Linked DNA regions of Arabidopsis thaliana. The protein of the gene in region 2 interacts with the protein of the main gene of each other region in a pairwise test. Each region holds a gene or a part of one and is shown on either strand. Other genes may lie near its edges. The genes, in order: AT5G10290 and VAMP723.

Evidence for each region.
Region 1: the proteins of VAMP723 (region 2) and AT5G10290 interact in a protein complementation assay, tested with the Arabidopsis thaliana proteins (one large-scale study listed by BioGRID).

The regions. Positions count from the first base shown.
Region 1 is NC_003076.8:3,223,116-3,240,728, reverse strand, and holds AT5G10290 (leucine-rich repeat transmembrane protein kinase family protein), read left to right. Parts: upstream 1-1,920; 5' UTR 1,921-2,178; intron 2,179-2,330; exon of another isoform or gene 2,331-2,529; 5' UTR 2,530-2,557; coding exon 2,558-2,648; intron 2,649-2,774; coding exon 2,775-2,907; intron 2,908-2,987; coding exon 2,988-3,059; intron 3,060-3,153; coding exon 3,154-3,297; intron 3,298-3,409; coding exon 3,410-3,481; intron 3,482-3,567; coding exon 3,568-3,633; intron 3,634-3,712; coding exon 3,713-3,783; intron 3,784-3,882; coding exon 3,883-4,023; intron 4,024-4,125; coding exon 4,126-4,862; intron 4,863-4,952; coding exon 4,953-5,267; 3' UTR 5,268-5,471; downstream 5,472-17,613. Other genes in the region: MES5 (methyl esterase 5), read right to left, coding at 5-286, 438-569, 683-1,045; MYB92 (myb domain protein 92), read right to left, coding at 6,773-7,514, 7,616-7,745, 7,821-7,953; CDKC;1 (cyclin-dependent kinase C;1), read left to right, coding at 16,055-16,167, 16,347-16,428, 16,556-16,646, 16,748-16,777, 16,870-16,979, 17,069-17,141, 17,215-17,335, 17,452-17,569.
Region 2 is NC_003071.7:14,035,860-14,051,890, reverse strand, and holds VAMP723 (vesicle-associated membrane protein 723), read left to right. Parts: upstream 1-8,501; 5' UTR 8,502-8,998; coding exon 8,999-9,188; intron 9,189-9,723; coding exon 9,724-9,865; intron 9,866-9,951; coding exon 9,952-10,072; intron 10,073-10,271; coding exon 10,272-10,316; coding exon of another isoform or gene 10,317-10,391; exon of another isoform or gene 10,392-10,438; coding exon 10,439-10,594; 3' UTR 10,595-10,853; downstream 10,854-16,031. Other genes in the region: PKT3 (peroxisomal 3-ketoacyl-CoA thiolase 3), read left to right, coding at 908-997, 1,410-1,486, 1,595-1,679, 1,762-1,888, 1,978-2,076, 2,150-2,217, 2,298-2,405, 2,495-2,572 and 6 more; RALFL18 (ralf-like 18), read left to right, coding at 5,059-5,370; SAR1 (synaptobrevin-related protein 1), read left to right, coding at 6,554-6,767, 7,220-7,361, 7,455-7,575, 7,768-7,830, 7,957-8,106; CSLD1 (cellulose synthase-like D1), read left to right, coding at 11,847-12,394, 12,500-12,929, 13,018-13,398, 13,472-13,847, 13,940-14,363, 14,446-15,397; AT2G33090 (Transcription elongation factor (TFIIS) family protein), read left to right, coding at 15,930-16,031. UniProt on the Arabidopsis thaliana protein: Involved in the targeting and/or fusion of transport vesicles to their target membrane.

The DNA.
Region 1 (17,613 bases), on a different chromosome or scaffold from region 2:
ATTATTACATATAATCGGTGGCAATAGCAGAGAGAGAGTCAAAGAGTTTTTGGGGTTTGGAGAGCATCACCATGTGATCTCCGCCATCGATCTCGTAGACTTTCGAGACGTTGAAATTATCAATCATCCAACGAATGAAATCGCAGGGGATGGCTTTGTCTTCACTACTCATTACGTAAACTCGTTGCACCGAACCATATCCTTCCTCGCTAAACTTTTCTTTCTTTGATAGATCCTCTGTGAAAAATGACCCTTGCCTATGCAACATTTTTGCCAGCTCGTAATCCTTCACAGTGTAACCATCATGTAACCACACACCAAAACTAATTAATAATCATCTCATACGATGATTCATATTCGAAAACTTTAGCACATAGTTTGAATATAGATTTTGTTGTTTTGGCGTAACAAATTTTAGAGATTTGTGGGAACAATACCTCTATGGGACAATTTTGGTAAAGACGTGCCTTCATGAATTTTGGTCCCATCTTCAATAAACTCATCGTCCCATTTCTTGTTTCATGAGATGAAAACTCACAATCTCCCAAACCTCCAGGCATCTCCATATACTTTATTATTATCATCAACCAAACCAAGAATTATTTTCATGGTATTAAGATAAGTTGGTCAAATTATAAAAAACTACTAGTATCAAAATTATTTTTGTTATTTTATTGTTAACCTTGTCCAGAACGTGAGAAGGCACGTGGGTTGTGTCGGGCAAGAAGGCGTTGAGGAACACAAGAACCTTAATCTTCGCCGGAAATATGTCGGCGGCGAGAGCGATGTTGATGCCTCCGAAGCTGAATCCAACCAGAATTACCTCTTCGTTCTCTGGAAGAGATTTGAGGGTTTCGATCAACGGTTTGGAGTATTCGTCGACGGTTTCAACGGCCTGGATTGGTCGTGGGTCGATCCCGGAGGCGGCGAGTTCGACAGCAGTAACGCGGTGGCCGGCTGATTCAAGGAGGGGCTTGAGCTTGTACCAGATCCAGGCTCCATGATAAGCGTTGTGAACTAACACGAAGTGATGTTTCCTCTCCATATGTCTCCGTAGACGTTTTCTTTTTGGTTAAGGTTCTTTGCTTGTTTGAGAATAGCGTGATAAAGTTGGGATATGAGTATGACGTTATTATTATATAGTGATAGTGGGATAAGGTTCATATACGTTACGCTGTTAATAACTTCTTATGTTATGACACATGTTCAGATTTACTAGTCTCCTCGGTCGGCTGTTGTATACTTTTGTATACTTGTATTTAGATATATTTTAAATAAATAAAGCAGAATTCTGTAATCACACTTAGCTAAATTACATTAATTTTTTTGGACATTTAAAAAAATATATGAGTACATCACAGTTTCAATCTAATAACGGACCAACACATGTAAGATTTTGACATCCGCGATTAGATGGACGTAAAAAAGGCTTAATTAACGGAACTAATTGAACACGATAAACACGTGCCTGTTAAGTGTTAACCGACCTAATCTTCATATTGATCTGAGAATCTTCACAGCTTCCCTTCCTTCTTTGAGTCTAGCCGGCCCATGGGCCGTGAAACACTGTGACTGTGACTCTCTTTTATTGACTCATTTTAACCTTTTCCTTTTGCCTTTTGGTACCAATTTTTAACTTTTCCTTTGTACAGGGAGATTCGCTTCCTTTTTTTAGGCTGGCCATTTCGTCTTAGTGAGTGGTGTATAGTTGGCCATTTCAGTCAGCTGTATTATAGCCTCATTGTCAATGATGTCGAAAATCATTCCTCAATTTACACAATGGTTGTCAGGTAAAAAACAACGAGAGTTGATAAGTAGATTTAGGAGGGAAAAAAGAAAAAGACAATTTAGTTAGTCTTCTTTTACATCCACGTAATTAAATAGCACATCGTTCCAAACATCATTATCAAAGTTCATTAGTTATTTAGGGAAATTACAAGTTGCACGGAGAAAAAGCAGTTCGTGGACCAACATTGGACTTTTCTTTCAGACAAAGGCCATTAGCGAGCGAGAGTGATAATTGCGAAATTGCCAAAAAACGCAAAGTCTACCACTAGACAAGAAAATCGAAGCTTTTCACTTTCTCTTTTTTCTGTTTTGTTGTCTTTGGTTCTACTCTCCGCACTGAATCTTTCGATCAGCGATAATTGTTTCCTTCTTTTGGGATTTTCTCCTTGGGTACGAGGTTCTTTCCTTCTTTTATTTGCTCTGTTTTTGAGATTTGGAATTGTTATCAAGTCTGACAAAATTGGTCACTAATCTTTCTGGGAAATTGAGCATGTTCGTGTTCTTGCATCCGTTTGACTCTTTTTCTATGCAAAGTCTCAACCTTTCAATAGTGGAATTTATTCTTATCCCTAATTTCTCTTTACCAGACCTATTTTTAGCTAAGTTTGGTTGAATTTAGAAAGTCTTTGATTCATAGTTGAAGAGATTCTCTCCATTAATCTTTCTCTGTAATGTGTCAGATCCACTAAAAGTAAGTAAGAAAAAGATTTTGTTGTAATGTTATTAAATGTGTCTTTGTAGATGGAACCAGCTCAATTAATGAGATGAGATGAGAATGTTCAGCTTGCAGAAGATGGCTATGGCTTTTACTCTCTTGTTTTTTGCCTGTTTATGCTCATTTGTGTCTCCAGATGCTCAAGGTGATGCCTTTTCTTACTTTTCAACTGCTATTTTGTTGCTCTCATTTCTTGTTTCGTTTCTGGTAATTTCTGAGCTTGTTCAGGTTGAAGATTTAACTCTATGATTCTTTGCTTTTCCATTTTCAGGGGATGCACTGTTTGCGTTGAGGATCTCCTTACGTGCATTACCGAATCAGCTAAGTGACTGGAATCAGAACCAAGTTAATCCTTGCACTTGGTCCCAAGTTATTTGTGATGACAAAAACTTTGTCACTTCTCTGTAAGTTTAATGACAACTCTGAATTAGTCAATGTTGTTTCCATGTGAGAAGATTTATATTCATGTCATTTGTGATTGCAGTACATTGTCAGATATGAACTTCTCGGGAACCTTGTCTTCAAGAGTAGGAATCCTAGAAAATCTCAAGACTCTGTAAGTGCTTTAGATTGAGTCTCTCTTTTTGTCTGAAATCCTAGAACATAGATATTAGGTTGTGAGCATTTCGCTACCTTCTTTTTATATATAGTACTTTAAAGGGAAATGGAATTACGGGTGAAATACCAGAAGACTTTGGAAATCTGACTAGCTTGACTAGTTTGGATTTGGAGGACAATCAGCTAACTGGTCGTATACCATCCACTATCGGTAATCTCAAGAAACTTCAGTTCTTGTAAGTAGTTCCGCCTCACAATGCTGTTAAATCTTGCACATGTTTTAAAACATTTTTAAGACGTAGAAAAGGATTACTCATGTCTTTATTCACTTGTGTGTTGGCTAAACAGGACCTTGAGTAGGAACAAACTTAATGGGACTATTCCGGAGTCACTCACTGGTCTTCCAAACCTGTTAAACCTGTGAGTTACTGTTCTTTGTGTTTATGCTTACCATCTTTCTGGAAGCATCCTTGTCTTAATTCCATTGTTTGAAACTATGTTTACAGGCTGCTTGATTCCAATAGTCTCAGTGGTCAGATTCCTCAAAGTCTGTTTGAGATCCCAAAATATAAGTATGTTTGACTACTTCAAGTTTAATCTAGCATGCTCATTTCTTTAGCAGTAATTTGATCTGTTTCTAATCGACTATAGTTTCACGTCAAACAACTTGAATTGTGGCGGTCGTCAACCTCACCCTTGTGTATCCGCGGTTGCCCATTCAGGTAAACTACTTCACTTTGCGATTGCTCTGACCGCATTTTCTTTATTTTCAACCATTTCAAAAGTATGAAAGACTGAAAACATCTAATCTGCGGTGATAGGTGATTCAAGCAAGCCTAAAACTGGCATTATTGCTGGAGTTGTTGCTGGAGTTACAGTTGTTCTCTTTGGAATCTTGTTGTTTCTGTTCTGCAAGGATAGGCATAAAGGATATAGACGTGATGTGTTTGTGGATGTTGCAGGTCTGTAATATACCCTACAGGGAAACCTTTCTTTCGTATTTCGTATTTCGGTATGTTATGATGTATTGATATGCAGATTTGTGGAACTTTACTATTTTTCAGGTGAAGTGGACAGGAGAATTGCATTTGGACAGTTGAAAAGGTTTGCATGGAGAGAGCTCCAGTTAGCGACAGATAACTTCAGCGAAAAGAATGTACTTGGTCAAGGAGGCTTTGGGAAAGTTTACAAAGGAGTGCTTCCGGATAACACCAAAGTTGCTGTGAAGAGATTGACGGATTTCGAAAGTCCTGGTGGAGATGCTGCTTTCCAAAGGGAAGTAGAGATGATAAGTGTAGCTGTTCATAGGAATCTACTCCGTCTTATCGGGTTCTGCACCACACAAACAGAACGCCTTTTGGTTTATCCCTTCATGCAGAATCTAAGTCTTGCACATCGTCTGAGAGAGATCAAAGCAGGCGACCCGGTTCTAGATTGGGAGACGAGGAAACGGATTGCCTTAGGAGCAGCGCGTGGTTTTGAGTATCTTCATGAACATTGCAATCCGAAGATCATACATCGTGATGTGAAAGCAGCTAATGTGTTACTAGATGAAGATTTTGAAGCAGTGGTTGGTGATTTTGGTTTAGCCAAGCTAGTAGATGTTAGAAGGACTAATGTGACTACTCAAGTTCGAGGAACAATGGGTCACATTGCACCAGAATATTTATCAACAGGGAAATCATCAGAGAGAACCGATGTTTTCGGGTATGGAATTATGCTTCTTGAGCTTGTTACAGGACAACGCGCAATAGACTTTTCACGTTTGGAGGAAGAAGATGATGTCTTGTTACTTGACCACGTATGTATAATCAAATAATCCTACCTCGAAGTAGCTTCTCTCAAGCTTTATTGACCGTAATCTTTTGGATCTTTTTTTTGTTTTGGACAGGTGAAGAAACTGGAAAGAGAGAAGAGATTAGGAGCAATCGTAGATAAGAATTTGGATGGAGAGTATATAAAAGAAGAAGTAGAGATGATGATACAAGTGGCTTTGCTTTGTACACAAGGTTCACCAGAAGACCGACCAGTGATGTCTGAAGTTGTGAGGATGTTAGAAGGAGAAGGGCTTGCGGAGAGATGGGAAGAGTGGCAAAACGTGGAAGTCACGAGACGTCATGAGTTTGAACGGTTGCAGAGGAGATTTGATTGGGGTGAAGATTCTATGCATAACCAAGATGCCATTGAATTATCTGGTGGAAGATGACCAAAAACATCAAACCTTGAGTTTACTGTAAAGTTGCCAACTTCACTTTTTTGTTTTGTTCTTCGGTGAAGAAGTAAAATCAGTTGTATAAATCTTGTTTTTGTTTCATGATGTATCTTTTGACTTTAATAAATTCTGTGAATGAAAAGAACTATGATGTTTTGTTGACTTTTTTCGTTGACCGCAAGAAACCTTTTTGTCGTCTTATACTGTCAGGCCTATTACAAAGTTGTCGTTTATATGGGCCTAATATGGGCTTTTAAATACATGTTTTCTGTCCCAAGTTGTCCTAGTTTTGCCAACTCAATTTATGATTTTTTTTTTTAATTATATCACAAAATAAAGATTTCTGTATTCTCTGACATGAAAATTAATATTTATTATTGAAAAATCGTTGTTTTCATATTTGAATAGAAAACAAGAAGAACAAAAAATTAACATATTTTTAATCATCTCTAAATTGTGTTAGATACAATAGCAATGTATTTTAAAGATTTTTATGTTCATGATCGAAAATATCCAAAAATATTTAAGATTGAAGAATGGATAATAATATACATTATCCATTGACAAAAAAAATCTATACATCATTATCATTTGGATACGGATGAAGTAAATTCCCTAATTGCACAAGATCTTTACAAGCCTCGATTATGTGTCAATTCAACATTATAACAAAATTAATAATAATAAAATAGATTCAATGAGTGATTTTTCTATAAAACCTAATGAGAGATCACTTTATCTGACATCACATACTTAAAGGGCCTTGTCTTTTAATTATTATTAAATCTCTACTTGGCCTTTTTATATTATCGTTAGCCAGCCGATCACATGCTTCTTCACTTCTTCCATTATTTGATCGATCTTCTTGGCAATCAAATCAACATTTAGACTTAACCAATGATATAATGAAACAACTCAACATTCAAGCTCTAATATGTGTTGTTTTAGAGCAAAATACGTGGTCTTTCATATGTTAACATATTTAAACTCTAGTCTCTAGCTTTAATTTGTTTGATTTTCTGCTTAAAGATACACAAACTGCTCTTTGATTTTTTTTGTGTGTTTTCATTCACATAATAACAGTTTGTCTATTATTTGTTATGACATCTATATTCATACATGATCCGAATGTTATCACTTATCACCATGGAAGGAAGTGTAAAACAAAAGATTCAAATAATCAGCAAAAACCCTAATTATTAAATACCATACAACTACAACTACAACTACAAATGATATCCATTTCACAAAAATCTTATATATATATAAACTCTGTGCACAGAGACATATGCTAAAGAACATTGACAACAACATATGCATATGAGTATGAAATCTCTGTACTGTACATTCTACAACATGAGTTACAAATATATGATGTCTCTACAGTATTTATATATATATAGATAGGCAAATAAAAATCTCCAACAAGCACAATTCCAAGAGTAAATTTGATTTGAGTTCCTCCAAAGTACATACCTGAAAGTAAAGACAAAAGAAGGCTAAGGAATGTCGGAAAATATAGAATCATCCAATAGATGATCAGGCCATGCAGCTGAAGCTGAAGCTCCTGATTCTTGACCGCTTGAAGATGTGATATTGCTATTGACATCTTCAATACCGTATTGGTTAAAAATCAGATCATCATTCACATGAGCAGGAGTTGTGCTGGATGGATCCGAGAGCCAGATTGGAGACACGGGTAGGTTTTCTCTTTGAGTGGAGAATTTGAAGTGATTGTCATCAAGATTCTGGGGGAAAACAGATGATGGTTCCATGTTGGAATTTAGGGTTTTCAGGGAAGGTAAGCTGTGGAAGTCCTGAAGATAAGAGCCGAGGAAACCGAGGTCGAGATTGTTGCTGGTGGTATTATTACTGGTCTCTTTGAAAGAGGCAATAGAGTTAAGGAGACTGAGAGTGTCAAAGTCATTAGGGTTAACATTGTTACTCATGGAAGACGGTTGAAGAAGGTATTGGAACAATTGGAGTTTGGCCATCTCGGTTTGGAGTTTGAGTATAGTGTGTTCTTGATCAATAGGAAACTGTTGTTGCAGATCAACAAAGCCTCTCAGGTTAGAAGACAAAGACATGAGCTGAGATAAGCCGGAGAAGATATCGGTTCTTGGACGGTGAGTCATTGGATCAAAACCCATCTGAATCAGCTTCTTCTTCAAATGAGTGTTCCAGAAATTCTTGATCTCGTTATCTGTTCTCCCTGGTAACTGATTCGCAATCGTTGACCACCTTATAACATCATCATTCATAAGCAATCAGTATAAGATAATCTGGTACACAAACAAAACCGTTGACTAAAACATCAAAACAATCATCACAAGATTAATTACTTGTTTCCAAGAACTGAATGAAGATTCAAGATAGTCTGTTCCTCGTCCGGAGAGAATCTCCCTCTCTTGATGTCTGGTCTCAAGTAGTTCGTCCATCTTAGCCTGCAACTCTTCCCACACCTGTTAAGACCTGCACAGAGAGAATCACATGAGAAGCTTAGACTTAAGACAAGCTTTCAAGAAAGAAAGAACACAAAAGCATTACCAGCGAGTTTGGGAAGGGCTCTCCAGCTACTATGACCATGTTTTTGAACATAGTTGACAAGTTTCTCATCTTCATCAGGAGTCCAAGGACCTTTCTTGAGACCAGAGTCATCAGAGATAGGAGATCTTCCCATGTTAGATGATCTTCTCTTCTCTGTATCTAAATCAACAACGGTTTCTTTTTCTTTTCTTTCTTCCTTCTCTATACTGTTATAATTGTCTCTGAGATTTGGTTGCTTGCCTCCTTCCTTCCTTCACAACCACTAACTGCTTCTTATTCCAATTTATATTAAACCTAGCATCCTTTTCTCTTCATGTCCATTCACCACGTGCTTCTTTCCTATTCGCCTACCAAAACAACCATGTCACTTTCACCTTTCAATTCCATTTTTCTAATCATTTTCTTTTATACTCTCACATACGCATTCCTTTACCAGTGTGATAAAAATCATTCAATGTAAATTCTTCCTCTTGTCTTAAAGCAACATCAGTATCATCTCGGGAACAGCCGTCTCCAACGGACAAACACATAACAATCGATTTGTTTTTTGTCTTTAATTGGGAAGCAGTTCATTAGTTGCCATCACTATGCCCTAGTACCAAACCCCTGCATTTGTCAAGAAGAATAACAACAACACATAGTTATTGCTTGGTCTCTTCACAATCCAAAACTCTAGTCTAGGTTATTGAATGGTTCAGCTCATAAAAAAACACAGATCAACTAAAAGCAAGAAGGTTAGATCATCTTTCTTATGAAATCCATAAAAGATCTTCTCCGAGTAGGTGATGATGGAGGAGAAGGGCAATAAAGGATATTTGACAGGAGGGCTAAACTTTTAGGTTGTATTTTTTAATCATTGGAATGACAAATAAAATGAGAAAGAATTTGTGAAATATAGAAGTCAGCGCCAACAACACATGGCAACAAGAGGGTGGCCAAAGAAGAGACATCTCCTCTGGCACGCAAAATTAGGTTTTCCTCGCATCATCCATTTCCATGGCCTATTAGTTTATGCATTTAATATTTCATATTAGCTATATTTTTATTGTATTTTTCTACATACCGATTAAAGCTATGATCAACCAACTAAACAAAACGGAAGGCAATGAACCCTAAGAGCTTGCCGCTGAAAATGAGAATCTTTCAAAAAAGTCCTGAGAGATTATTAAAGCAAGTAAAAGATGTAAAGTGGTCCAATAGTGTAAAAGAAAAAGATGCAGAGTGGGTTTGTTATGACCGTGTAAATTTCTTGTTTGACACATCATGATTAAGTCCATATATAGCAAATTTTAAGGTATTACTTACAGAGATTGCCAATCCCTAAAATGCATTTTTCTAGGAAGAAAAGATACCAAATGAAGAAACCGACAGGAAAAGCATACACTATATCGTTAGAAGAAAACTTGTAAGATTATGTTTTGTATCATTTTGTGGCAATACATAAGAAAACTTGTAAGCTTATGTTTAAAATCATCCTTAATTATTTCCTAAGCGCATTCAATGAAATTTCAGCGAGCAATAGCAATGGACAGATCAGAAAGAATGTCAATGTAAGTCAGGGGCAAGTTTGGGTATAATCAGAAGAAGTACTTACTATTGATGATGGTGACAGGCTTGATATGACAGATTTTGACCACTAGGGAGGAGCTGGTTAGGGGAGAGGTGGGTGCAGAAAATGATCTAAATCTCCACCATCTTTAAAACCTATAAGACTTTCTCCCTCAGCCTAAGTATTGCACCCAATGGCATATCTTGAGCTCTTGTCTTTTTCTTCTGTGTCTTCTATATAATGAAGATCACAGGTTCCGTGCACAAAATTCAAACTGAACGACATAATATCAAGAAACAAAATCTAATTAAGAAATAGAGAAAAATCAAACAAGAAGATGTTTTACCAAATGAGGGCATCAAATCTGTCAGTTTCTAGAAGATATTTTAGTGTATTCAGTAACTGTAGCCTGTAGGTGAAAGTGAAATGTGATACTCTGACTCTCTGAGCAGGTTTTGTATGGATTTGCATTAACATATTTTCACTCAACTCATTTTCTACCTTCACTGCAAATATAAACATACAGATATACATGAAGCTTGACAAACTAACATTGCCTAGAGAACCCAAAAATTATAACGTTCCTTATATATATAGAAGATTATAAAGCCATCTATCAGAAGAGGATTAATAAAAGCCATTATCTTAATTTTATTTCATTATACATTGAAACTCCATGGTAGCATCTGGATGTACACTATGGTTTTCGTTGCATCATATTTGAGCCTACGACTCTAGAAGTATCATCAGACCTAGGTAACAGAAGCCTACAAATTAAAAAAAAAAAGACGAAATAATTCTTACAAAAACTCAATTAAAATTAGGGAAAGAAAGATTATAATTGCTTGTTGAATTAGGGTTCCTCTCAGAGTGGAGGAAGCAGGTGAAGAAAATATTAAAGAATTAAGGAAAGCACTATAGGTTTTTTACAAAAGTATTAATTATGAAATATGTGATGTCACTTAAACCGTTCTTTTCCTCTAATTAAAAAACAACAACAACTTGGTTTTCATTGTCAGCTAAACAACTGAATTGCTTCTTCTCCTAAGTTTCAAACCAACGCGTCTAAAAGCTCGGACTTTCTATGTAACGAATGAAAATATTTAACCCTTGTATTATACCTATATATTGAATGTAAATGTGAAAAGCAAAACTCGAGATCATCTGCAAATATACCTTTAATCAATTTATGATACCAAGCATTTTGCAACCAACTTTTAAGTTCCACAAAATCGATAAAACACAAATTATAAGTTTGTGTATGAGGATTTATCTGCAGTAATGATTAAACTCTTGATACTTACAGAAGTCAGACGAAATTAACCAAGATGCTCGTGATTCGAATATCATCAGCATAGGTTAGGTTCCTGAATGAAATTCCAATGAGTGACGAGAGTGGTGACTGTAAAACCAAGAAGAACAAATATGAGACACACGTGTAACATCACACACGCATGCACACGTATATAAACCTATAATCTTCATGACCATCCTCTTTTTCAACTGTTCATATGGTAGCAATCTTATTGGAATACAGAAATTGGTTTCTATTTTATCTGTAGTAATCAAATTAATGATGGTTACGCATAGTCAAGGATTAGTTTTATATGATAATGATCTAAAAGGCATTAATCTTTTGAAACTCATGTATATTATTCAAATCTGAAAAGAGAAATTAACAAGAAATCACCGGTTCAACATCTTCTTGCTTACTCTTCATTTAGAATAGTAAATTAGCACATACTTTTCTCAACCGTTACGCCCAACATTGCTGGAACATCTGCTAGAAAAAAAGCATCGTCACAAGAAACCTCGAGAACATGACAAATAAGAAAAAAAGAAAGAACAAGAATGTCTACCATTAGTTTATATAAAGTCAGTCAAATATTATATGCCCTAAACTGTGTGGTCTTAAGCGGTATTTTTGTTAACAATCAACCACTAAATGTCATTTTAGGTGGCTGAACTTCTTTTGTCGTGGACATCGTTTTACAGCTCAAGACAGTGAAAGACATGGATGCTAACAACGGAAAAATATATATGTCATCCACGAGCTCTACACATATTGGATGCATTAATAGTATCTATCATTAAGTAAAATGTATCCATATATAAAAGGAAAAACAGATGAAGAGGAATTATAATACGAATAAAGTTTCACTATATGCAAAAAGAAGGAAAACTATAGAGGAATGTGTACCTATACCTAATGGGTCTTTCCTACAAAAAAAGTTGCTCAATGACAAGAGGTAATCTAGCTCGTACTTAGTTAGGTGCATCCGTGCATGTAACCAGTGTGTCAACTAAATCTAGAGGAAGCAATAATTCAGGATTTAAACCATCACAAGTATCTACCAAGTTCAGAACATAGACGAAATCACGAAATGAAAGAAATTATGATTTCACGATGTCATTGTTGACAAATTTCTCTAAATTTTCAAGAATAGAACCACTTCAGAAGATACACTATGAAGTTCAGAAGATTGTTTTACCAGGAAAGCCAATAGGATCACATCTCTTTCTATTCTTGTTCAAGAATTTGCATCTCCAAGACCCTTTTAAGGTATTCATATAATATTTTTTTGAATGATACTTCCTGCCAAGAAATAGATTCAAACAATTAATTTTGAGCCCACTGCATGTATTAGAAGAGAAGGTTACTATAGGATAGCATGTTGTACATTTAGGATTGTTTAACCTAAATTTTGTTAGACCAAATCTAAAAAAGCCCAAACTGAAATCATCATACAGAAAAACCCATGAGCTCAGAGGGGAAGAACTAGTAGCTATCATCAAATAAGAAAGTAGTTTAAAAAAAAAGTTAACTAGGCATCATAGAACAAGCCAGCGATTATGTTTATTTGGGTATATTATATAAACATATATCTTAATCATCAAATTAGAAGAAAGAAAATTATATATATGGGAAATAAACCTACCACTCCTCATCATGGTATATAAGCATCATCTGTCATGCATCTATTGCAAAGTGGTACAGAAAAAAAAGAGTGTTTAGAACTGAAAAAAGGATTAGTAGTGGCTTTATGATCAAGTCGGTTTTGATTGAGTTCACCAAGTTAGTGGTGCCTTCTCACTAAAAGCTTTTTATAGGGATTTTCATCAAAGGTCCACCTTCAGTACATACTAAGACAGATAGGCAATTATTATGGTTGAAAATAATGTATGTAAATCTTTATTAGTTTCACAAATCTGCACTAACATCTAGACAACTTGAACATATATCTTCTTGAACATATAAACTACCTTTTGAAATTTGAGTTTTACGAGGAAAACTAGACGAAGTTAGTGCAAAGTATAAACCAAACAAACAAGATTGTTTACTATAAACCAAAGAAACGAGATTATTTCAGTAAATAAATCTTAAACAAGTATAAAAAGTCCAGCTTTCACTTTGACAAATGGGGGACAAAAAAGGCACAGCTGAATAAAGTTTGTTAACTTTTACCAGTCATGTGATAAAGGTGGAAAGGTAGATTTCTGTCAACTTTTTCATGATTTATGTGCTTGAAAATATGACATTCCCAAGACAGTCCCTTTAACATCACCAATCAATATAGCTCAAAACCAGTGATAAAACCATACAATTTTGAAATACTCTTATCATTGTAAGTTTATATGTGCATGGAGAAACCACATTTGCTTAAATAAAAATTGTATAGAATGAAGTAAAACTAGTTAAAGATTAGACAAAGATATGGGAACTAAAAGCACCAACAAACCTCAGAACCTAAGAGAGGTGGCCACACCACTCGCCGTTTATGTTCTTTGAGTTCATCGTTTCACTCACCAGCAAGCATCAAGCAGAAGACAAAGAGAAAATCTGAAAGACCCTGTAAAAATAACATTGTTGCTTTTAAGAAGGTAGTAGCTAAAGCAAACAGGCTAAAGTGAATTATCTTTTCACGAAAGTGTAAGAGTTTAAAGACAAAACCGGGGAAGCTTTTTGCATGAAAAAGTAAGCCACATGGCCTGACTCAAAAAAGTACGAAGATCTCTGCATGAACATATACGTAAAGAACAGGATACACAATAGAATAATCTTGACAAAAGCATCATAAAAAGCTGTGCGAACTCTAAAACACATGGTTGGGGTTGGTAATTAAGTCAGGTCTTTAAATTGAGTTCCAATAAAGAAAATAAAGCTATCCAGGAGCAAACCTTATAAGTCACCTTTAGATCTGCTCTTTGTCCTAAACCTTTTGTATTTATTCTAGATTAGTAGCACTTAACATTAAGTAAACACTAACCTATTCTTTTGAGCTTCACAATTGTCCCTATCTTTTTCAGAGACACGGAAAAACACAAATTAAGAATTTCATCCAAAAATAATAATAACACTAAACAAATGATGATACAGTTTGAGATGCATGATTAGAATCTGTTAGTAAACTGTAGACTGATGGATGTGAACAACACAACGATTGCAGATGCCAACCACAACTTAAGATAATTCTTACCAAAAAAAAAAATCAATAAAACTTTGCATAAAAGTCTATAAATTTGACGATTTCCACAATATAATATTGTGGGCAGATAGATCTTTCAGAATACCTTTGACTTATACCCTCAGATAGATTATATTAGGTAAATCCTCTCATGGACTAGATCATTGCTAATTTGCTATTTCAACTGTTTAGTTTTCTAACAATTAGGATGATAAAAAATCTGGAAAACTCTCTTGTACATGAAGCAAACATGTGAATCAACACATTAACAAGCAGCACTCAACAACAACAACAACAACAAGACATCAGAATTATTACAACTTAGAATCCTGCAGTTTTGCTAGCTACCCCAAGAGGAGATGAGATACCTGAATTGAACTCTGGTTGCTGACCTTCGATAGCAAACTCCTACAGCTTGAAACTGAAACATGGTAACAGAGGCTTCTCATTGCCAATGTAGACTTAAATATGTGTTGCTTTGCATCATTTATGGACCAGAAAGTGGGATAGTTATACGTGTTGGACATAGAAGTCACAAATGGCTGACCACTCCCTTGAATTAAGAAACACAAGAATAAAATATCACTGAAATCACCAGAATAGTAGGAGATGGTAGAACAACTCCACTACGTAGTCATCATCCCACAGAAGAAAGTAGCTTGGAAGAGGAATGTTTTGGTTAGCTTGAAAACTACACCATCAGACAGAAAAATCAGTAAGTAGGATCATATCTCAACCCCATTGTGGAATATGAACCAAATATGCAAGTCAATTTCTTCTACAGACAGTGGATTGGATGAGAACATTGTTTATATATAGTCTTAACATTATTTTATCATTAGTTCATTTTGAAACTTCCATCAGTCAGATTCCCTATATATATAGTAAGTTCATAAAACTAAGAAGAAAAAGCCTATATATCTTTCATATCATTGTGGACCAACAAACTTAAACAAAACCAAAACATCAACGGATCAAGTTCAAGAAACATATATAGCACATACTTAAGATACTTATCTATCTTTCCCATCGCCCAAGTCGAACTCTAATATCGGTTACAAGAAAAAAAACCTAGCATGATTCATAAGAGATAAAAGAAATATCATCCATACGAAACAAAAGAAGGGAAGATTTATGTATAGGGTTTGATTCAAGTGAATGACCATAGAGAAACATTTTCCTAGAAATCACAAAACCCAAAATTAGACCTACCCACACCAAAATCAAACTTCCGAAATAACCGTCCTTCACCGATGTTAGCATGAAACCTAAATTGAATCGGGTGAGTTAGGAGTTAGGACCAATAGCCGATGTTAGGGTTTGACAATGAGTAGGGAGATAGTGAATCGTGTCTTCCTGTAGGTAAAGAAACCGAGATCTAGGGTTTGGTCGAGATTCGAATGTTCTCGTTCTTCCTTTGAACCAGAATGGTCGTGTACACGGTTAAATGGCGTGATAAGCACGCTAACACTTCAGGAGTAATCTGTTCCTATCGCACCTCTTGTCACAGACGGTGAACCCACTGGAAAACCTAAGTGATTTTCTTAATTTTCCCGCTATTTTTGGGATTTCTCAAATTCGCCTCCAATTTTATTTACGAAAATCAAATTTTATCTCGAGCAGTAAATCTAGGGCGTTCGAGTGTCCACTAGTTTTTCTCTTTCTTTATAATATATCTAAGCTTGAAAAATAAATATTAATCAAAATGTATGAATGTTTACTTTATAGAACAATTAATGTATGATTTTTGTAATTGCAATTTGTTTTTTTTTTTTGTGACTTGTGAGTGTGCTTGGCATTGGCATGTTAAACAATTTTGTTGTCAAGTCTTTTATGATGAGAAAGATACATAAGAAACATAATCCCATAATTCCAATTTTTAAAAAATGGAGTTTGTATTTTAATAAATACTTTTGAAAAGATTATTTTTGTTGTGGTATTTTTGAAAACCGGTCAATAAAAATGATATTTGATATTTCTTTCATTATTTTATTTAAATTTAACGGATGATCGCTAATTTACACCAACCGCTTGTTCAGGGTTAGACCGGTTCAAACCGGACAATTCATAGATTTAAACCGAAACGCTAATTACATAAATAAGCTGGGAAACCTACGGAGAGAGAGTTGTCTGAGAGAAAAGGAAAGCGATCGAGAAAGACGTAATTTGATCATCGGAGTAAAAGATATTGTTCGACAGTGGGACTCCCGGGAACGAAGATGGCGATGGCATCATTCGGGCAGCTAAATCTCGAGGAACCTCCTCCAATCTGGGGATCTCGCAGCGTTGATTGCTTTGAGAAGCTCGAACAAATTGGTGAAGGCACTTACGGGTTATTCACTTTCTCTTTAATTCAATTTCACTCTTTGGTTATTCAAAAGGCTTAATTTTTACTTGGGATTGATAAATTATTGGCCTTTGAAGCGATTTTTGATTGTATGATTAGGCTTTTACAATGCCTATGTTGTGTTGCTTTTAGGAGATTTGATTGTTGTTGTTTTGCTGTTGCAGTCAAGTTTACATGGCTAAAGAAATCAAAACTGGTGAAATTGTGGCTCTCAAAAAGATACGTATGGACAATGAAAGAGAAGGGGTATGTGAATTCTTCACTTTATATGGACTATACGTTTTTTTTATGATGCTCACTATGTTTAGAACAGATGCAAGTTTTTGTTTACGATAGGAATTGTAACCCATTGTTTACAACTGGTATGATGCAGTTTCCTATAACAGCTATTAGAGAGATAAAGATTCTGAAGAAGCTTCATCATGAAAATGTCATTCAGCTGAAAGAGATTGTGACTTCACCAGGTTTGTTTAAGGAACACATATGTTGCACTGAATTAAGTTAGCTATTTCTATATAAAGAGGTCTAAACATTTTGTGTTTTGAATGGTTCTGTCTCTTAAAAGGTCGGGACAGGGATGACCAAGGAAAGCCAGGTTTGTGAAAAAAAGTGATTTCAACTACTGTCTTAGTTTCTGCTTATTGAGGATTTCTTCTTAACTAAAGGTTGTGGCTTTTTCACCTATAGATAATAACAAATACAAGGGTGGCATCTACATGGTTTTTGAGTACATGGATCATGATTTGACTGGACTAGCAGATCGTCCTGGACTGAGATTTACTGTTCCTCAAATTAAGGTATTGCACGGCTAAATAGCTCGTTACTTCTATTAGCCTTTTTCATACTTATTGTTCAACTTTATTCTAACACTCAATCCATTTAAAAGTGTTACATGAAGCAATTGCTTACCGGGCTTCACTATTGTCATGTGAATCAAGTGCTTCACCGTGATATAAAAGGTGATTTTCCTTAATACAATGTTGATGTTTGGTTATCACCTTTACTTGCATATTAACCTAGATTTTGATCCAGGCTCAAATCTCCTTATCGACAATGAGGGAAATTTAAAGCTGGCTGATTTTGGGCTTGCACGGTCGTATTCTCATGATCATACTGGAAATCTTACAAATCGTGTCATCACATTGTGGTATAGGTAAGCCTAAAAATCGTCATTCAAAGTTTACATGATATACATAGATAGTCTTAATATTATGGTCTTTGCTAATTCATTGTTATTACTACTTTGCTGATTTACATATATTGCGGCAGGCCCCCTGAATTACTACTTGGGGCTACAAAATATGGCCCAGCAATTGACATGTGGTCGGTTGGTTGCATATTTGCCGAACTTTTGCATGCAAAACCAATCTTACCTGGGAAAAATGAGGTCAGCGTTTCATCTTTGCTGAAAGCGCAGTTCTTTTGAAAATT
Region 2 (16,031 bases):
TATAAATTTGGTATCACGGCGTGTAAGAGATCTTGACATGCTAACCTTACGCAGATGTGCATTGTTGCAGTGCCATATTGTCATTATTGGTAATATATATGCCTAAGTAAAGTTCATATTGATAAAAATTTTATTCAAACACTATTGCATCTGCTTGTCAATCGCATAATAACATTATTAATTGAAAATGTAGTTTTCACTATTATACAATATCCGTTCTTATTTCGTTTAAACCGGCCGAGCCCATAGTATTGCAAACTATCACACCATATGGGCTTTAACTTTACGTTGGTAAAACGTAAAAAGAAAATAGCGATCAAGTCTCAAGAAGGGTACTTTTAGAATTAATAGCAACTTTAAGGCGTAAATAGAAGTAATACAAATAGTTGGGGTTATTATGTAAATATGAAGAAGATTAAGATCCAGAAGATGGAAATGAAAAACACGGCACGCATTTCAAAGCCCAAAACGGGCGGGGGCAAACGTCACGCCTAATCTTATCTTCTTCTATCACACTCTCAGCTTATCTATGACTATGACTCTCATCATCAATTATTTCACACTATTAACAATCACCAAACCAGTGTGAACATTTTAATTCATAATTAGAGTAAGGTCATTAGGCTAAAAACTGTTTGATTTGGATTTTACAACTATAGGATAAGAACTTGTATCGCTGTCACAGATGATATTTTTTGGTCGTTTAAGCAAAGAAATATTACGAAAAAGAGATATTTTTTATTCTTACTTATTTTGGGATTATCATTTACCCGGAACGGGCAAAGCGGTGAGTCATCTTACCTTATAAATGATCACAAACCCGAGGACTGTGAGTTTTCGTGTAGAACAAATCCTTCTCTGAGAAAAAACAACAGATCCGAATTTTATCTTTAATCAGCCGGAAAAAATGGAGAAAGCGATCGAGAGACAACGCGTTCTTCTTGAGCATCTCCGACCTTCTTCTTCTTCTTCGCACAATTACGAGGCTTCTCTATCTGTAAGCATTCTATCACCACACACTCTCTCTCTCTCGATCTATCGCGATCTTTTGGTTGTCTTCTCTTGTGTTTGCAGTCTGGGGATTATGGATCGTTGTTGATCTGGATTCATTATATGGAATTTTCGATTTTGATTTTGATGCTGAATTATAATTTGATTCGAGGCGTGCCTGTGAGCTGAAAATTTTAAGTTTCAGCTCGATTGAGATCAAATTCAAGACTTGGATTTTGTTTTTGTATTTCGTTCACTGGATTGAGATAGATATCTTTTTTTTTTTTGTTGTTGTTTGATTTTTGTTCGATTGGGTTGAATTATCCGTGCTCTGCATGTACTGATGATTTCTTAAAAGTCAAAGCTTGATTTCAATTACTACGTGTGATCTCTTTAACGTGTTCTTTCCAAATTCCCAGGCTTCTGCTTGCTTGGCTGGGGACAGTGCTGCATATCAGAGGACCTCTCTCTATGGAGATGATGTTGTCATTGTCGCGTAAGTCCCATCTCTTATGCTTTTACTCTTTTGGTATTTGGTTTTTCAGCAACGTATGAAGATTTCTCGTCTCTTTCTGATAGACTTACACTTATTGATCCATTGCAGGGCACATAGGACTCCACTATGCAAGTCCAAACGTGGCAATTTCAAGGATACATATCCCGATGATTTGCTCGCACCTGTTTTGAGGGTCTGTCGCTATCTTTTCTATTCTGTTGTTGGTTTTTATTTCCTTTCTACGTCTATTTATAGATAGTTCTTCCTTGACATAGGCATTGATAGAGAAGACGAATCTAAACCCAAGTGAAGTAGGTGACATTGTTGTGGGTACTGTTTTGGCACCTGGATCTCAGAGAGCCAGTGAATGCAGGATGGCTGCGTTCTATGCTGGTTTCCCTGGTATGTTTCTTCTATGTACAGTACAATACAATGGTGAAAAGTCTTTGTTTTTATTTCCTGTATGCTCATCCTGTTATGTTCATTTGCAGAAACCGTGGCTGTCAGAACTGTGAATAGACAGTGCTCATCTGGGCTTCAGGCTGTTGCTGATGTAGCCGCTGCCATTAAAGCGGGATTTTATGACATTGGTTAGTGAATAACCGTCTTTAACTACGCCACATTTTTTCATAGAGAACCGAGCTGACGATATGATGGATGCAGGTATCGGGGCTGGTTTGGAGTCCATGACTACCAATCCAATGGCATGGGAAGGGTCAGTCAACCCAGCGGTACTGATTCTCTCTTATCTGGAGTCTTACTTGGCTCTGTTATTTTAATACGTACTATAATACGGACTATGTTATTTCAGGTGAAGAAGTTTGCACAAGCGCAGAATTGTCTTCTTCCTATGGGTGTTACGTCAGAAAATGTAGCACAACGCTTTGGTGTCTCAAGGCAGGAGCAAGATCAAGCTGCTGTAAGGGAACTGAACTTTTTCAGTATGGTTGTATTTTAAATAACCTATAACTTTGATCGCTATGCTAAGCTATGGAGTCATATTGCTAGGTTGACTCGCACAGAAAGGCAGCTGCTGCTACTGCTGCTGGTAAATTCAAGGATGAGATCATTCCTGTTAAGACCAAGGTATTTTTCAGATCCTTCATACAATAACTGTAACATTTAAGACTTCTCTTGGTGGATTAGTTACTGAACTTCATTCATGTTCTAGTATTAGTCAATAACGTGTGTTTTAAATTTCAGCTTGTTGACCCGAAGACTGGTGATGAGAAACCCATTACAGTTTCTGTTGATGATGGTATCCGACCAACCACAACTCTTGCTTCTCTTGGGAAGCTGAAGCCAGTGTTTAAGAAGGATGGCACCACTACTGCTGGTACTTTTCCCGAATCAATTGTTTCATTATGGAAACCACAGTTCTTATTATCACAATTTTAAATCCATTGCTTCATTTGTTCTGTCGCAAACAGGAAATTCCAGCCAAGTAAGTGATGGTGCAGGAGCGGTTCTCCTAATGAAGAGAAGTGTTGCAATGCAAAAAGGACTTCCCGTTCTTGGTGTATTCAGGTGGGTAATAATTACTTACAAAGCTACGACTGTGGAAGTCTGAAAACCGAAAAAACTGCAGAGGCTTGTGATTTCCATTTACACAGATATGCTAGTATACGTGGAAAATACATTGTTCTTTCTGTATTTGGCTTTTTCTAAGTAGCACACTATTGGACATATTGCAGGACATTTGCTGCAGTTGGTGTTGACCCTGCAATCATGGGTATCGGTCCAGCAGTTGCCATTCCTGCTGCAGTTAAGGCGGCTGGTTTAGAACTTGATGACATCGACTTGTTTGAGATCAATGAGGTATATAGCAAACAATTTCATGATCTTCTTATCACATATCTCTTCCCGCACATTCTGATGATGACCATCTGTTTGAATCCTTGTGTGTTCAGGCATTTGCATCTCAGTTTGTTTATTGCCGTAACAAATTGGGACTTGACCCAGAGAAAATCAATGTCAACGGAGGTGCAATGGCCATAGGCCATCCTTTGGGCGCTACAGGTATATCTGTTAAGAACAGGACTAAAACTGTTAAGCTTGTTCCAATTTACCAAACCATAGAGACTTGAATTAATGAGAATCTCTCAACTCTCAACCAAACCTTAAGAAATCCACAGCCGAGATATATCTTTATAAACTCTGTCCTCACTAATGGTTCTTTAACCAACTTACAAGAGCTCTATCTTGCCGCAGTCCGTCCTTTTCAAAGCATATCAATGTCTACATTGTGTCTATATAATTATAAAACGCTCATGAACAGTTGCTAATACTTGTTAAAACTCTCACAGGAGCGCGTTGTGTTGCTACATTGTTGCACGAGATGAAACGCCGTGGTAAAGACTGCCGTTTTGGAGTAGTGTCAATGTGCATTGGTATGCTTCTCACTCGAATAATTCATTGTGAATTTGGTGTCTGAAATATGTGTCTGAGGGATGGTTTTACTGATTTGGTAAACTCTGGCAGGGACGGGGATGGGTGCAGCAGCTGTGTTTGAGAGAGGAGATGGAGTTGATGAGCTTCGCAACGCAAGGAAAGTTGAAGCGCAAGGTCTTTTGTCCAAGGACGCTCGCTAGAGAGGACCATGCACCAAAACCGTTTTTCACCTCACCTCTCTCTTTTCTGGTCTTCTTGTCACTTTCTTCAGATATTATTATAGTTTCGAATAAAGCACACAACCAATGTTTGCCTGAGTCTTGTGTTGTTCTTGACCAGGTCATGTGTTTAGTATTTTTTTTAAGTGAAGGGGGATAATCTTTAAATCTTTTATATGTAAGAATATTGTTCTTCTCGAATTTCATCAGTTGTTGCTTCTAGAAATTTTAGATTTTTTGGGTGGCAGCCATTTCTATATTTCGATGGATAAGTCAAACGTTCATAAAGTCAAGGGTTCTGCCTTTTGTTTGTGTTTCATGATTTTACCTTGAATTTCATTAACTAAAACAGTGTTAATAGTAACAGTTGGGGTGGTGGCGCAGTTGGCTAGCGCGTAGGTCTCATAGCTACTGAGTGATCCTGAGGTCGAGAGTTCGAGCCTCTCTCACCCCATAATTTTATTTTCTCATAGCTATTTATATAACGTTCCTTCTAGTATTTTTTTTTCTTTTCGTTATAGTATCTTGTCTTTGATACCGGAGACGTTATAACGGCAGTATAAGACGTTATAATCATGTTCCAATGCATCCCCTCAGTTTTGTGTTAAAAACGAGCCATCAATGTTATCATATATGGAAATCATTATTGAGGCTTTGACCAATTAATTATGCGAATTGACCGACTTTGATCACTATACAGAGCAAAACAAATCCACTGAATCATTTATTTGTGTAGGTTCATCTTTTTTGGGCACCGTATTCATTTCTTATTCCATGAATTTGACGGAGTAATTTTGATTTTCTTTTTCGAGTAAGAATCTGGTCAAATATTCGATGAACCTCTACAAAAAAAATTAACCTCTATAAAAGTGTAGATTAACCAAGTGTTTCATCACAAACCATTTCAACGTAAACGAAACAACAACTACTACTCTCAACTTTACACTCTCTTGATAAGTCTCGATGATGAATAACATGAAGCTCTTGATCATCGCTGTGATGATCATCTCGGCAGCTTTGCTTCCAGCGCTTGTGGTCGGATCTCGTCCGGTAAAATGTGACAATTGCATGGACGGTGGAGAAAAAGAAGAGATCATGAAGATGAGTTCAGGTGTAGATGTGAGCCATAGGATACTTCAAGCTAAGAGATTTATAGATTACGAAGCATTGAAGAAAAACTTACCAGCCAAACCAGATGGTAAACCGGATAAACCGGATAACAAATACCGACGTGGTTGCAGTGCCGCTACAGGATGTTACCGCTTTACAAATTAAACATAAACCACCTCTCTCTTCTTCTTCTTCTTCCTTTCGTTGGTGTGTTTTATTTTATTTTTAATTAGTATTTCCAATCACATTTCTTATTATTATATTTTATTGCAATTTGTAAGCCTTTGAGGCATTATCTCCTAGAGAGTTAGAATAAACTTCGTTTAGAAATTGTCATCCTTTTCTCACCAAATGATTGACGAGTGAAAATTGATCTCATCGTAAAGTATTTTTGCGGTCAAGTTCAAACAAATTGATCCCTTCTCTCGCACCATATTCTTGTTTTATTTTATTTAAACGATCGATATATTTCCAAACCATTCCTCCAAAACTATCACACATTCACACCTACCAATTTCAACTTTAAATACAAAATATAGTCTTGTTGTAAATATAAGATACACTTTAGAAGTGTACACGTGAAATTCAGGTATATATATTACAATAGTAAGCAACCTCTAAGTACAATTAAATCAAGAAAAAAATAGATTTGAATTAATAGGAGCGGACATGGGATGCATGTAGAATTGTAGATTATCATTTATTATGGTGACTAGACCATTGAACTTTCCTATAACTTTGAAAATATTCTTATTTAGTCATTTAATTTAGATTACACCAAAACCCCAAATATGCCAAATTTTCTACAAATACCCCAAAAAAGACAATTTATAAAATTATTATCCAACCACATGTAATAATCTTTGATGACTTTTAAGTTTTAAATTTTAATAGTAGATTTAGATAATATAGGAACCAATTATTCAAAGGTCAAAGTTCAAACTAGCTTATCCAAATTCATTTTCGCTGATAAAAATACGTTGAAACTATCAAATAACAAAATACCATTACACCAACATCACCAACTTTTTAAAACCCCACAAGTTGATTATTTGAATTTGCTTTTAGGTCCTCAAGTTCAAGATTGTTTCAATTTGCACAATCTGCATAAATCTTTCTGAAATATAACTTTTTTGCCCTCTAAAACTCAAGGGTTTGATTTTTCTTCTTCAACTACGTTAAGATTTCTCCTACACTTTTCTTTTTCACCGTATTCTCTTTTAGTCCTCGATTCTCTACGCGTTTCAGCGTCAAGTCTTCTAGATCTCTAAAGCCTTCGTGCTCGCCAATATAAATCTCTGAGATCGGTCCCGTAAAATCGGATTCGCGTCGTTTTTGAGTAAAAAAAATGGCGCAACAATCGTTGATCTACAGTTTCGTCGCTCGTGGTACCGTTATCCTCGTTGAGTTCACAGATTTCAAAGGCAATTTCACATCAATCGCTGCTCAGTGCCTTCAGAAGCTTCCTTCTTCTAACAACAAGTTTACCTACAACTGCGATGGTCACACGTTCAATTACCTCGTCGAAAATGGATTCAGTGAGTCAAAATATTGCTCGATCTGTAAGCGTAGCTTGTTTGTGTTTTGATTTATCCATTGTTTGAATTAGATTTTTTGCCTAATTGAGAAATATGAATCGAGTTCTTATGTTTGGTATAGTTTCCAGTAATAATTATGTATTGGCGTTGATAATTAATTGATGTTAGATCTATGGTAATCAGTGATATTTTTGGTGGATCTATCAATGAATATTTGCAATTTTTGTTCTGGATCTATTGATTCTTTGCTTATTTGCGTGTAGCTTTCGATATCATGAAGTTTTTGGCATTAGTGTATTGTGTTCTTTATGTAACTCTGTTTTACTAAACCTAATTGGGTTTTGGGTGATGTTGATGGCGGATATGGTCTCTTTATGATAGTGTTAACTTTCTTATCAGCGATATATTGATGAATCTATTGCTTTATCTCTTAATATAGAGTTTAAAATGGACCGGTTTTGTTTTCGTTTGTGCAGCCTATTGTGTTGTTGCAGTTGATTCTGCTGGGAGGCAGATTCCTATGGCTTTCTTGGAACGAGTTAAGGAGGATTTCAACAAGAGATATGGTGGTGGAAAGGCTGCAACTGCTCAAGCAAACAGCTTGAATAAAGAATTTGGGTATGTGTTTTTTGATCTCTTTGATTGGTATTGAAAAGGGTCTATGATTCATGGGCATAGTTATTGATGGACTTCTTTTTGGCTTCTCTAAAGGTCGAAACTGAAAGAGCATATGCAGTATTGCATGGATCATCCTGATGAGATTAGCAAGCTTGCTAAGGTTAAAGCTCAAGTGTCTGAAGTTAAAGGTGTTATGATGGAAAACATTGAGAAGGTTTGATTCTGACCCTTTTTTCTTTTTATCGATATAGTTTTATGTTGTAAACCTTTTCGAACAGAGTTCAGCTTGTATGACTTTAGTACCAGGATCTTATGATTCGTAAAGCATAAACTGTAGAGAGGAATGTTTTATTCTCGGTTGTGAAGACATATTCTGTTGTTAACTCGTTTATGCATTCGTTTGCAGGTTCTTGACCGTGGTGAGAAGATTGAGCTTTTGGTTGACAAAACAGAAAACCTTCGCTCACAGGTTTGTTTTCTAAATGGTTCAAAGTCAATAGACCCACACAGAGACATGCAAGAGTTTGCAGCTTTCTCTTACTGATTGTTGTTTCTTGGGTTTCTAACTTTAAATTTGAACTCGACTTTATCACAGGCGCAAGATTTTAGAACACAAGGAACTCAAATGAGAAGAAAGATGTGGTTTCAGAACATGAAGATAAAGCTCATTGTCCTTGCAATTATCATTGCCTTGATTCTCATCATCATCCTCTCAATTTGTGGGGGATTCAACTGCGGTAAATAAGTCTGGAACATTTCTTCCCGGCGTTATCGACTGCGCTCTGTGCTTCCCAAGATCTCTGAGAATATCTTCATTCAGTTCGTTGTGCTACCTTTTTGTTTTGTTTTTGTTTTTGTGATTTCTATATTCTCATACTATATGTTTCTTCTTAGATTGTACTTCTTGAAATTTGTTTTGTATAGGCTATATATATTATACATATATGTATGCATGTTCGACAATCTGCAATGTTGCTATTGCTGGTACTGACACTAATTCTTGCAAACCAATATTTGGACGATACTTGTTCTTGGCAATTTACTAATTTCTTTGGTCTGTTGATGAGACTCTAGTTGCGGATTGCAGTGAGGTATAAGCATAGTCCACAGCCGGTTAATATTAAATGGAGATGAATATGTAATTAACACGGTTTCGTCTGACCGATTCACCAGAGTCTCCGGTTAGTTCATTAAGGGTTTGCTCAAACGCTTTCTCCTCTGCTTCCCTAATTTCGGAAACATTCGCCTGATTTTCTGAGATTTTGGAATTTCTTCGAATTGATTGCCATGCTGAGCTCAAGATTTCGACTGCTGAAATCGAGGCGACTTGCGGAGCCACCTCCGGCTGATGTCGCGGTTATGTGTATTTGCAGGAAATGAAAGTGATCTCCTTATTGCGGCAAATCAGCCACTTCCTGTCGACTAAAACTGTGGTGCAGCATGTAAGAACAAATGCAAGTTCGGACAAACGTGTTGTCTTGGTCAGTGGTTTTACTTGGCTTAGTCTTCGATTCTCTACGCGTTTCAGCGTCAAGTTTTCTAGATCTCTAAAGCTTTCGTGCTCGCCGATATAAATCTCTAATATCGGTCCCGTAAGATCGAATTAGATTCGCGTCGTTTTTTAAGGAACCAAAATAATGGCGCAACAATCGTTGTTCTACAGTTTCATCGCTCGCGGCACCGTAATCCTCGTCGAGTTCACAGATTTCAAAGGCAATTTCACATCTGTCGCTGCTCAGTACCTTGAGAATCTTCCTTCCTCGAACAACAAGTTTACCTACAACTGCGATGGTCATACGTTCAACGACCTCGTCGAAAATGGATTCAGTGAGTCAAAATATTGCTCGTGATGTGTTTGTGATTGTGTTTTCGATTAGTCGATTTATTCATTGTTTGGATTAGATTTCTTTTTACCTAATTGAGCATTTGAGAATCGAGTTCTTATGTTTGGTATATCTCTATGACTTATCTGAGTCGAGTTCTTATGTGTTTACCGTTTGGTATAATTTCAGGAATAGTTATGTATTGGGTTTGATAATTAATTGATGTTAGATCTATAATCAGTGATATGTTTGGTGGATCTATTTAAGCATCTATGCAATTCTTATTATGAATCTATGATTCTTGGCTTCTTTGCGTGTAGCTTTTGTTTTCATGAATTTGGCTGGTTTTTCAAATGAGAGTTGTTTGGGAAATTTGTGGATATATATCGCTCGAGTAAATTGCATTGGTGTATTGTGTTTATTATATTGCTCTGTTTTAATTAAACTTAGTTGGGTTTTGATGACGTTGGATATGGTCCATATCATATGGACTCTTTATTATATTTTTTAAGTTTCTTATGAGGGATATGTTTGTGCAGCCTATTGTGTTGTTGCAGTTGATTCTGCTGGGAGGGAGATTCCTATGGCTTTCTTGGAACGCGTGAAGGAGGATTTTTATAAGAGATATGGTGGTGAAAAGGCTGCAACTGATCAAGCAAATAGCTTGAATAAAGAATTTGGGTATGTGTTTTTTGATCTATATGATTGGTATTGAGAAGTTTGTATTATTCATGTCAATGACAGACTCCTTTTTGGCTGCTCTAAAGGTCGAATCTGAAAGAGCACATGCAGTATTGCATGGATCATCCTGATGAGATTAGCAACCTTGCTAAAGCTAAAGCTCAAGTGTCTGAAGTTAAAAGTTTAATGATGGAAAACATTGAGAAGGTTCGATTCTGACCCTTTTTTCTGTTAATGGTATAATTTTATGTTTTAATCTATTTCCAGTAGAGTTAAGCTCGTATGAGTTAAGTGTCATGATCTTTTGGTTCCTTAACCTTTAAATTGATGAGGGGAATGTCCAGTTCTGGGTTGTATAGGCATGTATGCTGACCGTTTTTACATTGTGGAACACATTCATTTGCAGGTTCTTGCCCGTGGTGTGATATGTGAGATGCTGGGTAGTTCAGAGGTTAGTTCTCTTAGGCATATGGTTCTAAGTTCCATACACATAGATATGCTTGAGTTGCCAGTTCTCTCTTACTAATGTTGTCTTGGGTTTCCAACTTTTAATTGAACTCGAAACTGTCACAGTCACAGCCGCAAGCTTTCTATATAAAAAGAACTCAAATGAAAAGGAAGAAGTGGTTTCAGAACATGAAGATAAAACTCATTGTCCTTGCAATTATCATTGCCTTGATTCTCATCATCATCCTCTCGGTTTGTGGGGGATTCAACTGCGGTAAATAAGTCTGGAACATTTCTTCCCGGCGTTATCGACTGCGCTCTGTGCTTCCCAAGATCTCTGAGAATATCTTCATTCAGTTCGTTGTGCTGCTTTCTTTTTGTGGTTTCTAATTTCTAATTTCTGCTATGTCCTTTCTACTTAGGTTGTACATAAATATTATACATATATGTATGTCCTTTCTTCTTTGAAATTGGTTTTGTATAGGCCATATATATGTATGAATGTTTTTGCTATTACTGGTACTGACACTGATTCTTGCGAACCAATACTGTGACGAGATTTAAATATGTAATTGGCAACTTACAAATTGCTCTGGTCTGTTGATGTCTTAATGAAGGCTCTAGTTGCGAATTTGCAGTGATGGTGATAACGGTGTAACATAGCCTAGATTGGAGACGAGTCTGTTTGGTCTGACCGGTTCAGCAGAGTCTTTTTTTTTTTTTCGTCCTTCAGCAGAGTCTCCGGTTAGTTCGTTTCTTTCGTTGCTGCCACATCACCTCGCTCGAACCTTTCTCTTCTGCTTCCCTAATTACGGAAACGATTCGTCTGATTTCGATTCTTCTAAACGATTAGTCGGCTAGCCATGTTGAAGACGACGCGCTCAAGTTCTCGACTACTGAAATCGAAACGACCTGCGGAGACACCTCCGACGCCGGTCCGAAGGCTTCTGGACTGGAGGTGATTTGGCGTCTAACCGATGGATAGCTGCGACTGCGATGCATTGTTAAGGAAACAGACAGAGATGAGTAATCCAAATGCACCTGTGACCTGCTTTGGTATTGTTTCTGATTCCCCTCCTATGTGAAATTCAATGCTTGTTAAATTAGGGAAATTTGGTAAAGCTAAACCCTTGGTTTCTAGCTTTAGAGTCTGATATTGTATTAGAGAGAGTGTTTTTATGTGTATCTTTGTTATCATTTTCGATGATTTGATCTATCTAGTTTTCTCACAATGTTATACACAATCTTTTAACCATTGATAAGCAACCTTCATTGAGATAGAGAGAGGCAAAGCACAAAGAAAGGAGATTTCAGAACTCAAAAGATTTCAGTTTTAAGTTTTCCTTATAATAGAAAAGGATCTATTAACCGTTGAAATTCTAAAGCTTTTACATTTCCTTCCAAACTCATTCCTCTGTTTTCTTATTTTCCTCTTTTCCTAAATCAGGTTTGTCAAAAAAAAATAAAAAAAAATGGGTTCAGTTTCTCTCTGAAGAAACCAAACGACCCAAAACAAGATAATTCCATAATTGTAATGGCTTCAAGTCCACCCAAGAAGACCTTAAATTCACAATCTTCTTCCTTAAGCCGGCCTCCACAAGCTGTCAAGTTTGGTCGCCGGACGTCCAGTGGTCGCATTGTTAGCCTCTCCCGTGACGATGACATGGACGTCTCTGGTGATTACTCCGGCCAAAATGATTACATCAACTACACCGTCCTCATGCCTCCAACACCTGACAACCAACCTGCTGGCTCCTCTGGCTCCACCTCGGAGTCTAAAGGTGATGCTAACCGAGGTGGAGGAGGAGGAGACGGGCCCAAGATGGGGAATAAGCTGGAGAGGAGATTGTCTGTCATGAAATCAAATAACAAATCAATGTTGTTGAGGAGCCAGACGGGAGATTTTGATCATAACAGGTGGTTGTTTGAATCTAAAGGAAAATACGGTATTGGAAACGCGTTTTGGTCAGAAGAGGATGATACCTATGATGGTGGCGTTAGCAAGTCCGATTTCTTAGACAAGCCATGGAAACCTCTCACGAGGAAAGTTCAGATCCCGGCCAAAATTCTTAGTCCCTACAGGTGATTGTTTGTTTTCACATTTTAAAACCCCTCAAGATTTTCTGCTTCTTTTATTGATGTCTATTACAGAACATCAAAATCTTACAATTAGTCCCCTTGTTTCAGGTTATTAATCGTGATTCGTCTTGTGATAGTCTTCTTCTTCCTTTGGTGGCGTATTACGAACCCTAATGAGGATGCAATGTGGTTATGGGGACTATCGATAGTCTGCGAGATTTGGTTCGCTTTCTCTTGGATTCTTGACATTCTTCCGAAGCTAAACCCTATAAATAGAGCTACTGACCTTGCTGCCTTGCATGACAAGTTTGAGCAGCCCTCTCCGTCAAATCCCACTGGTCGCTCTGATCTTCCCGGTGTTGATGTGTTCGTTTCCACGGCTGACCCTGAGAAGGAACCGCCTTTAGTCACTGCAAACACCCTTCTCTCGATCCTTGCTGTGGATTATCCAATTGAGAAGCTTTCTGCTTACATTTCTGACGATGGTGGTGCAATTCTCACCTTTGAAGCTATGGCTGAAGCTGTTCGTTTTGCTGAGGTTTCATTTCCGCTTTCTCTCCCTCTGTATCTTAACTAGTCTATTAGATGGTGGCAAAAATCTAAATGGTTTTGAATTTTGTTTGCAGTATTGGGTGCCATTTTGCAGAAAACATGATATAGAGCCACGGAACCCGGATAGTTACTTTAGCATTAAAAAGGACCCAACAAAAAACAAGAAAAGGCAAGATTTCGTCAAAGATCGTCGTTGGATCAAGCGTGAGTATGACGAATTCAAGGTCAGGATCAATGGTCTTCCAGAACAAATCAAGAAAAGAGCTGAACAGTTCAACATGAGAGAAGAGCTCAAGGAGAAGCGAATTGCCCGAGAGAAAAATGGGGGTGTATTGCCGCCAGATGGGGTTGAGGTGGTAAAAGCAACGTGGATGGCTGATGGTACGCATTGGCCAGGGACATGGTTTGAACCTAAACCTGATCATTCAAAAGGAGATCACGCCGGAATTCTACAGGTATGAACCATCAACTTCATTGATTTCAAGTAAAACCATGAAAACTTGTCAAACTTGACATAATGTTTTGTAGATCATGAGCAAAGTGCCTGATCTTGAACCGGTGATGGGCGGACCGAATGAAGGCGCGCTAGATTTCACAGGGATTGATATTCGTGTACCTATGTTTGCTTATGTCTCGCGTGAGAAACGTCCAGGTTTTGACCACAACAAGAAAGCCGGCGCTATGAATGGTATGGTTAGAGCTTCAGCCATATTATCCAATGGCGCGTTTATCCTCAATCTGGACTGTGATCACTACATCTACAACTCCAAAGCTATCAAAGAAGGAATGTGTTTCATGATGGACCGAGGTGGTGACAGGATCTGTTATATTCAGTTTCCACAACGGTTCGAAGGAATCGACCCATCAGATCGATATGCAAATCACAATACTGTCTTCTTCGATGGTGAGTTGTTACATTGATTTGCAACACAGCAAAATTGTAATGCTTATGTTACAAGCCACCATAACTTAAACATTATTCCGGTTCTGAAACAGGTAACATGAGAGCATTAGATGGGTTACAAGGTCCTGTCTATGTTGGAACAGGGTGTATGTTCCGAAGGTATGCTCTCTATGGATTCAACCCACCTCGAGCCAATGAGTACTCAGGCGTGTTTGGTCAGGAAAAGGCTCCAGCTATGCATGTCCGGACTCAGTCCCAAGCATCCCAAACGTCCCAAGCGTCTGATTTAGAGTCTGATACACAGCCTCTTAATGATGATCCAGATCTTGGTCTGCCCAAAAAGTTTGGTAATTCGACCATGTTCACAGACACTATTCCAGTTGCAGAGTACCAAGGACGGCCTCTAGCAGATCACATGTCGGTTAAAAACGGAAGACCACCTGGTGCTTTGCTCCTGCCACGACCTCCCCTTGATGCTCCAACAGTGGCTGAAGCCATCGCTGTCATTTCTTGCTGGTAACGTTTTGAAAAAAGAGATATGCTCTGTTAGTATAAATGGATATGTAGTTAAAAATGTTGAGTTTATTTGGCCTTTCAGGTATGAAGACAATACTGAATGGGGAGATAGAATCGGATGGATTTACGGGTCGGTCACGGAAGACGTGGTGACAGGTTATCGTATGCATAACCGTGGTTGGCGGTCCGTTTACTGCATCACAAAACGTGATGCTTTCCGTGGCACAGCTCCAATCAATCTCACTGACCGTCTCCATCAAGTTCTCCGTTGGGCCACAGGCTCTGTAGAAATCTTTTTCTCCAAGAACAATGCCATGTTCGCCACCAGAAGGCTCAAGTTTCTCCAGCGAGTCGCCTACCTCAATGTCGGGATCTACCCTTTCACTTCCATCTTCTTGGTCGTCTATTGCTTCCTCCCTGCTCTCTGTCTCTTCAGCGGAAAATTCATCGTCCAGAGCCTCGATATCCACTTCCTCTCCTACCTTCTCTGCATCACCGTAACCCTAACCCTAATCTCACTCCTCGAGGTCAAATGGTCGGGAATCGGACTGGAAGAATGGTGGAGAAATGAACAGTTTTGGTTAATCGGAGGCACAAGCGCTCATCTTGCAGCAGTCGTTCAAGGTTTGCTCAAAGTTATAGCCGGAATCGAAATCTCCTTCACCCTGACATCGAAAGCCTCAGGAGAAGACGAAGACGACATCTTTGCGGATCTTTACATTGTGAAATGGACAGGCTTATTCATCATGCCGCTTACAATCATCATAGTCAACCTTGTTGCGATAGTGATTGGAGCTTCGAGAACAATATACAGTGTGATTCCGCAATGGGGCAAGTTAATGGGAGGAATATTCTTTAGTTTATGGGTCTTGACTCATATGTATCCGTTTGCTAAAGGATTGATGGGTCGAAGAGGAAAGGTTCCAACGATTGTTTATGTTTGGTCCGGGCTTGTGTCGATTACCGTCTCGCTGCTTTGGATCACCATTAGTCCTCCAGATGATGTTTCAGGCAGTGGAGGAATCTCAGTGTAAATTTGGATCAGAATGTAAAAACTGAGGATTTTTAACTCTATTTTTTTTTGTTTGTAAAAGTAATTTTGGTTTATGTAAATTTATGTTGAAACAGACCAATTCTTGCTGTACTTCGTGTTAGCTTTTGATACACACCGTTGTTACATGGAACAGAAACAAACAGTTTTTTTTCATTAGTCCCATGGCTTTTATAATCTCTGTTTCTTCTTACAGAACAGAGGATCAGATTAAGAGAGAACGAAAAGAGAGAATTTTCAAATATACTATATTTGACGAAACTACCCTTGTTGGTCATGAACGTTGAATACCTGATCTGACAGATTTACCCTTCGTGGAACTTGACAAGAAAAAAGGAAATTAGTATCAGCCGACGTTGTTTCGTTGCGTGGACCTGAAGGAAGCTTCCTTTAATTTCCTTTTTTCGTTTAAGTCTCCACTTTTTACGCTCTCTATATAATATCGGACACTCTACTTCTCTCGTTCCATAATTCGATAACCAAATTTGAGAGAGTGAAACCCTAATTAGATAAGAATGGTAGATCACGGTATGTTCTACTCCTCCAGGATGAGTACTCTTTCTTCCAACGGAAGAGGCGACGCTTATACTTGCAAAAAAGCTCTTCACTTGACTCTG